Linked DNA regions of Caenorhabditis elegans. The protein of the gene in region 2 purifies or fractionates together with the protein of the main gene of each other region. This does not show direct contact. Each region holds a gene or a part of one and is shown on either strand. Other genes may lie near its edges. The genes, in order: ruvb-2 and ZK402.5.

Region 1 (3,928 bases), on a different chromosome or scaffold from region 2:
TCTCGGATTTCACCAATTTTTTAAAGCATTTTTCGTCATTTTTTTCAAGTTTCCAGTTTTTCTTAGTGATTTTTATGCAGACTGATAAAATAAAATTCAGTCAAATAAAAAAAACCTCATTCAGCTCAAAAAACCACTAAAACATCGGAAAAATGCCTAAATTTTGGCGAAATCTGCGAAGCTGATCGAAAAACGTTTGAATTCACGGTTTTGTCGCCATTTTCCTAACAAGACCCATGGATCGGGGACAGAGCGTTTCCAATTGCCGGTGGAGCGTTTTTAAAAGATATATCTCACTTGACTCCTTCTTCATCACATCGAATTGACAAAATCTTTGCTGTATCTTCTTTAGTATATGGGATCGCGTTGATGATGAGCATACGATCAAGGAAATCAGATGGGATGCCATGAGCAGATTCGACATCTGTTCCACGCACTTTTTCGATCAATCTAAAGATATTTAATTAAAAACTCAATATTAAAAAAAATATATTTGCAAACCTGTTGGTGGCCATGATAATCAAGGGACTGAGTTCGCCTTCGATGGCTCTGTTGAGGAACGAAAAGCATTCGATATCAAGCATATGAGCTTCATCAATAAACAATACTCCTGGTACAAACTTTGCTTTTCCCTCTTCTCTCCACTCCAAAACCTTCTTATTAATCTGATCTCTCACTTCTGCTTTGATCTCTCCAGTGTCTCCTGAGAAGAGTGCCACGTATCCTTGGGTACGAGAATTGATGACGTCAATGTCGTGAAGACAAACTGTGTGAACAGTTTCACGTCTCTTTTGAATTTCTCCATCTGGACACTGAACAAGCTTCACTTTTGGACCCATTGCGTCATAGTCGTGGGAACGGTTGAATGAACGGCCAAGTCGAGTAACACGTCCTAAAAACGATAATTTTTCAGTTTTTTGATTAAATAAAATTCTCACCAGAAGCCTTATCAACTTGAATAACATCACCGGGCATCACTTTCTCTTTCAGACACGCATCAACCATTTTTGATCCAAGATCGTAGATAGTTTCCATATCAGTTGTACGCATTGTGAGTTTTCCGACCTTTGGTCCCATTCCATTTGCTGACCGATCAACTTCCAACGAGATCACTTCTCCTTCCAAAACTTCAGTTTCTTCTTTAATCTGAATTCCCAGAGCACGTCGAAAAGCTTGAGTAAGTGCCTCTGTTTTGTTGATTTCGTTTGAATAAATCTGAAATTTAAAAAAGATATTTATTAATCTGAAAAAAAACATTAGACTAACCTCTGAAGCGACAATACTGACAAATGGGGTGTCCTCACCAAGTTCTTTGGAAATTGCGATGGCGATAGCAGTCTTTCCAGCTCCAGGCTCTCCTGTCACAAGAAGAGCACGTCCGGCAATTTTTCCCTCCTAAAAAATATAGTAGCAATTTTAGTTTTGAATTTTTGTGCAGAAAACATTACCTGAATCATTTTGACAATAAGTCCTGCAGCTTGTCTAGCGGCAACCTGGCCGACCATTCCTCCAGACACATATTCAGCTTCTAAACGATCATTAAGACCTAGACCAGTAATATGTGAATGTACGGAGGTGCGTTCAACCTGGAAAATATACTGTAATGCAATTGAACCTAGATTTTATTAGAAAATATGCTAAATTGAACACAAAAATTGAATATATGAGCAACAAAATACCTTTACAATATCTTTCACATTAATTCCGTCCAATGTCGCCATTTTGATGTCTGAAATTGAAATATAAAGCTGAAAATTTGCTGAAATTCGGAAAAAGTGAACCTAAAATTCGAAAATCGCGCGCACGAAACGCGCCAACCACAGAAAAAGCGTCAATCAAGGGGCACGAGAAGTGCGTCAACTCGCACTTTCTGCGTCTCACTCTCTAATTATATAGCAACGTGATCTGGAGTTGGATAAATTAATTTTAAAAAAATTTATAAATTAAGCATTTAAAGTTATTTTGGTCGGTCAAGTTTTTGAAAGTGACTGGATATTAAAGAAAATTAATTTAATCTTTATGAGCCTTGTAAAATGTTTTCAAATTTGATCAATCGAGCATAAATAAATGTATTTATTTTATCAATTAAAAAAATCAGAACTTATAAAATCTTATGTATAAAACCAATTATAAAAAAGATAAATATAGAAAAAAAGCGCAATTGAATACTTAGATGCTCTTTTTTTACCAGAATGTTCAAGTTCGATTGCCGGGATCATTTCTGAAGAAATTAATTAAAATGCCAAAAGAAATCAATCAAAACCTTTTTTCCCAATAATTCAAAGATAAAATTTGCTCAATGTGAATAAGGAATAGCATGCTGTAATTGCCACAGTGATAACAAGAGCCCAATCAATAAATCTTCTTGAATTCGAATATTTGCTATAGATCACAATCTCATCATTCGGATCATCATTCTTACAAAGAAGTGGTACATCAACCAGTGAATACTCTAAAGATTTATGAATAGGTACAATGTTAGCCATTTGGAAGAGAAATGAGGGCGACGATGAGGCTGTATGCGGGGTTTTCAAAGCATATGCTTAGAAGCGAAGATTGCTATCAAGCCTTTGCCTTGTCTTCTCGCTTACACGTGGCAAGTCTTTTTTCTGGCTAGGAAATACGATTTTAGAGAATTAAATCCGAGGCGGTGGAACGTTTTGGTAGAAATCCTGCATATCCTGAATTCAAACTTTCGGAAAGTGCTGTAGCAGTCGATTCCATGATTCTATCGTAACCTACTTATAAGTTTTCATTTTCAGAAACTAATTTTCAAAAACTATCACAGAAATTTAACAGATACGCTGTACATTCGAAAAGAGCTCTATATCCCACATATTCTCTATTAGTGCGGCACCTCAACCGCTCTATTTTAATAGCGTATATGTAACTCGCACGCTTTTGAAGATATCGAAAAATGAAAAACATAGAAAAAGAAAAAGATTTAACAAAGATGTTCTTAGTTGAAATTTTTGGCTTAAATCCGAGATATAAGCTGTCAAAGTTGAGCAATTGGGGGTGCCGAACTAATAGAGAATATACGGTATCAAAAATATTAAGAAGCAAATCATTTCAATTTTACTATACACATAAAAATAACCCAACAACAAAAAAATCGTTTATTTCTTCAAAGGTCAAAATGAAAATTAGTCACAAAAATTATAAACTCTCATTGCAATTCACACAAAACAACATTAGACACTGTTTAAATGTAAGTCTGTTCTTGAGAATACATAAATCAGAAACAATAATACCAGAAATAAAGAGAGCACATAATTCAAATGACGATGAAGTTGAACTTTCATCAAATAGTAAAACTTAATCGGAGTGAATTGAAGAATCAATAGGAAGATAAATGAAGTCCTGAATGACGCAGTGGATTTGTGAAAGAATAGATTCATATCTGTTGAAACAGACGGAGATGGCATTCAAGCCATTATGTTTAATTAATTCAGTCAAACTGTTCACAAAGTTTTGAAGAAATGTGTGAAAGATCAGAATAACGTGGTTTCAGAAAAATGGATATCTTTTAAAGTTGCGATACTGTATATTATCTATGAGTACTATTATACATTTAAAGTTTCCTTTATACTGTTAAGATTACTAATTTTAACTTACAAGACATGTATGCGTTTAAATTTTGAATAAAAAATCATGAAAACTGCAAATTAAATATATAATTATTTGGATGTAACTTGTTTTTAAATTTTGGAGCCCTCAGAATTTTCCAGATGCTGAAGGTACTCTGTGGTATTTCTAAAATGTTTCAGCACTTATAAAGGTTAATTTTGGTAATTTTTATGTTAATTGTTTTTCGTCTCTGGTGCAATCTGTAGATGACACTGGTTTTGCGTCAACTGTATCAAATATTTCTGTAAAAGTTCAATAGAATCTAAATTGGCAATGTCAACTGATTACTTAACCTAGA
Region 2 (3,928 bases):
CAAAGCTTTTATTCAGAAAAAAATGGAAATTGTAATTTATAACTTGAATGGCGAGGAGACCAGACACGGTGGCACTTGAATGGTGACTTGAATGGCAAGGAGACCAGAAGCATTTATTCTGTCCTGTAAACGGTAGGGTAAGGTAAAAAAAGACTAAGAAAAAAAACTCACCATACTCTAATGAGTCCTTCAATCTCATCCAGGGCCTCGAGATTGAGAATTATTTTGCGTAATTCTCTGTTCTCCTGACGAAGAAAACGATATAGATTTGAAAAAAATCGGTGCATGAACGCGGTTTGAGTGGCAGGTGCGAAATTTAGCTCCCTGGCTGGGGGTGGGAAATTTAGCTCCACATACTACTGAAAGTCGTCCGAAACTTCTCCAGCAAGCCCAAGCATCACTCGGACACGGCTTTCAATACTGTAATTGTCCAGTTGATCCATGTTTGGCGCAAGCTTTTTATGGAATCTAAATCTAAATTTATTAAAGAGAACCAGGTATAATATTCTCACTTTCGATAATAGGCTCCATCCGAACATCTGGCATTTTCTTTTTTACCGAACTCCATGAAAACTTTTGTTGCCACCAGTGGCTCATTGGCTTCTTTCGTCTTTTCAACAAGAAACGTCATCAATCTTACGTCATCGGCGGAGAGCATGATCTTCGTTGACCTCTTTCGTGCTGCCTTAGAAGATTTACTGTGGATTCTTTCCAACGTGAGTTTTCCGTCGCGTGACTTATAATTGCAGATTCGCATTTTCTTGTCAATCTTAACAGTGCCAGTCGATTTGATCCTGCAACAAACTAAATTCATAAATCTGAAGGTAACATCTCTCCTCACAATGTCATGAACTTGTCCGACACTTTTGCCGACAAGGCAAACGTCACTTGAATGCGTGACACGACACTGTATTCGTTTTTTTCGTTTTATGTTCCGACCCCTACAATACTTTAATACGAATCCTTAAGCATCGTAATTTATTTTCGTTTTTTTTTTTTTGGTTTTTCAAAAATTTCAATTTTTGTTTTTTGGTCCAAACTTTTTTTGGTCCCAGTCCTGTGGCCAACTCTACCTCGGGACAACATAATAGGGGCAACGTTTTTCAATCTCTAAAATAATTTTTGTATAGTTTTATTTGCGCGCATTTGAAAAATCTCATGGGTACGCAAATGAAAAACGCGATTTCAAGATCAAATATATAATCAGGGATTTTTTTAATTTGTTCACATAGATGTTCGGAATCAGGGGAAAATTTGGAGTTATTTAAAAATATTTCCTAGATTTCGGTACCCCACCTTTAATACCTACAGTTGTGACGTAATTTTTCAACACTTTTTAATTTTCCGACACTATTTGAATAACCCCATTCAAAGTTGTATTATTCAAGTCACATGTATTCCGAGAACTTCCTAAATTACAATATATTCGAAATATTATTCATATTGGTAAATATTGATGGATGGATTCCTTTAGTCGACAACATATTGTCACCCCACCATAAAACCCTCAAACATGTTGTCACCGTCTAGATAGGTACGTAGAAAAGAATGACTCACTGTGTTCATATAACCTTGGCGTTAGCAGCTGCACAGCAACATTCTACATTTCCAATCATTCTTTGTTTTACTTGGGTTACTGGTGGTGACCCTCTTCTATTCTTCTAGTTTTCTATATGAACCTTTTCTAATGTTATTCCTATTTTTACTTTAGTAATATTAATTGGTAGAAAAGTAAGTTTTTTTTTGAATTTGTTTCAACAGGTAAGTGGGAATTTTATTTCAAAATATGCAATTTGTTGCTAAATTTTGAGAAATTTATTAAATTGGAAAACTGATAACACTCTTGGTTATCACTTTATTTGAATTTTCGGGCTTTTCTTCTCAAATTTTTTTAATTTTTAAAAGTAGGTGTTTGTCATTGGTGAAAATTATTTAAAACCGCTGAGATAGTGCTATACTCTTTAAATTCTATTATGAAACATTAAAATTTTTCAAATATTGCTTATTAACTTTGATATAAGGTGGATTGATTATTTTAAGTTTAAAATACTGTGTAGGAATACTCAAAGAGTTTAAGAAAAGCATTCAAAAATGCTGTGGAGTAGCGCCAGTGGGAAAAGTGCTAAAACTATTAGAAAACTATTAATATGATGCCAAAATGACCAAATATCACAACAAAACTTTTTAAAATTTTTTTGAAATTTTTTATTTACTGTCAAAAAATGACGATTGACAACTCATTTTTTGCCACTCATAATTCTGGAAGTCGACCAAAAATTTTTTTAAAACTTAAACTTTTTATATTGTAATTTTGTTTCAATTATTCGTATTAAAGTATTGTAGGGGTCGGAACATAAAACGAAAAAAACGAATACAGTGTCGTGTCACGCATTCAAGTGACGTTTGCCTTGTCGGCAAAAGTGTCGGACAAGTTCATGACATTGTGAGGAGAGATGTTACCTTCAGATTTATGAATTTAGTTTGTTGCAGGATCAAATCGACTGGCACTGTTAAGATTGACAAGAAAATGCGAATCTGCAATTATAAGTCACGCGACGGAAAACTCACGTTGGAAAGAATCCACAGTAAATCTTCTAAGGCAGCACGAAAGAGGTCAACGAAGATCATGCTCTCCGCCGATGACGTAAGATTGATGACGTTTCTTGTTGAAAAGACGAAAGAAGCCAATGAGCCACTGGTGGCAACAAAAGTTTTCATGGAGTTCGGTAAAAAAGAAAATGCCAGATGTTCGGATGGAGCCTATTATCGAAAGTGAGAATATTATACCTGGTTCTCTTTAATAAATTTAGATTTAGATTCCATAAAAAGCTTGCGCCAAACATGGATCAACTGGACAATTACAGTATTGAAAGCCGTCTCCGAGTGATGCTTGGGCTTGTTGGAGAAGTTTCGGACGACTTTCTGACACAGTAAAAAATTTTAAAAAGGTTTTTGAGTTAACGAATAGTGATTTACAGAGTTCAAACGGAGGGAATTGTCGTGCTCAATGATGGCAAACGAATTTGCGAGTATGCATCACGTGATGGAAAGCTGAAGTTGGAGGCGGACCACAGTCATTCGGCAAGAATGAAAAGAACATCTGCATATCACCGAAAGGCTGGTCGACACGTGCACATGGTCATGAATGCAAGTCAGACGACGAACCAAGCCGAGAGCGACGAAGATGGCGTAGATTCGGCGACTTCTCTTCCTAGATCTCCGAAAAGAGCGAGAACTGAAATGTATATCCTGTCAATTTCATATTACGCAGTATTTTATTTGATTATTTTCAGGAGCTCGAGTGACGACGACGATGATCTGGAGATTATTGAAACTGTGGACGGATATCCGAAGCCTGAGCCAGTTGATTTCGATTTTGAAGAACTCCTCAATAGAGATTCAACCTATAATTTGCTCATCGATCATTCGCAAGAATATAAAGAAGTGATGATGGAAGAGAACAATCAGCCAACTATTTATGTGAAATCTCTTCAATTGGACAGTGACGACGATGAGGTGCAATACATCGGAGCGATGAAGGGACAGCCGAAGCCTGAACCAATCTTCGAAGGATTTGCACCACATAATTCGAATAGCGATCATGTGCAAGAAGAACAAAAAACTGGTGTTCCACGCTTCGATCGTCAACAAATCAGTCTTTCCGCGAATACTGGAGCCACTTCAGATGAACCCATTAATATGTCTGAATTCCTGAAACAACTGACCCAGTTCATTTGCTTTCTCAAAAGTAGGGAACTCGAGGAGCTCAAGCAACAAATCAAAAAGTCAATTGGAACTAATGTTGATAAGGTTTACAGTTCTCATGGAAAAAAAATTATTTTGAAAATTCGATTTTCAGAAAATCCTATTTGCCGAGCTTCGTGGAGTTTTCGAGGCATTCCTCATCACGATCAATCGAAAAATCAAA

What was found.
Region 1: the proteins of ZK402.5 (region 2) and ruvb-2 fractionate together in Caenorhabditis elegans (co-fractionation; one large-scale study listed by BioGRID). This does not show direct contact.

Annotation. Positions count from the first base shown.
Region 1 is NC_003282.8:6,917,678-6,921,605, forward strand, and holds the start of ruvb-2 (RuvB-like 2), read right to left. Parts: upstream 1,730-3,928; 5' UTR 1,722-1,729; coding exon 1,680-1,721; intron 1,587-1,679; coding exon 1,449-1,586; intron 1,396-1,448; coding exon 1,267-1,395; intron 1,216-1,266; coding exon 939-1,215; intron 893-938; coding exon 502-892; intron 451-501; coding exon 298-450; intron 1-297. Other genes in the region: T22D1.18 (Transposase), read right to left, coding at 2,280-2,486. UniProt on the Caenorhabditis elegans protein: Possesses single-stranded DNA-stimulated ATPase and ATP-dependent DNA helicase (5' to 3') activity suggesting a role in nuclear processes such as recombination and transcription.
Region 2 is NC_003284.9:1,399,046-1,402,973, reverse strand, and holds the start of ZK402.5 (SPK domain-containing protein), read left to right. Parts: upstream 1-1,614; 5' UTR 1,615-1,731; intron 1,732-2,343; 5' UTR 2,344-2,435; coding exon 2,436-2,443; intron 2,444-2,490; coding exon 2,491-2,772; intron 2,773-2,816; coding exon 2,817-2,930; intron 2,931-2,978; coding exon 2,979-3,242; intron 3,243-3,293; coding exon 3,294-3,810; intron 3,811-3,859; coding exon 3,860-3,928.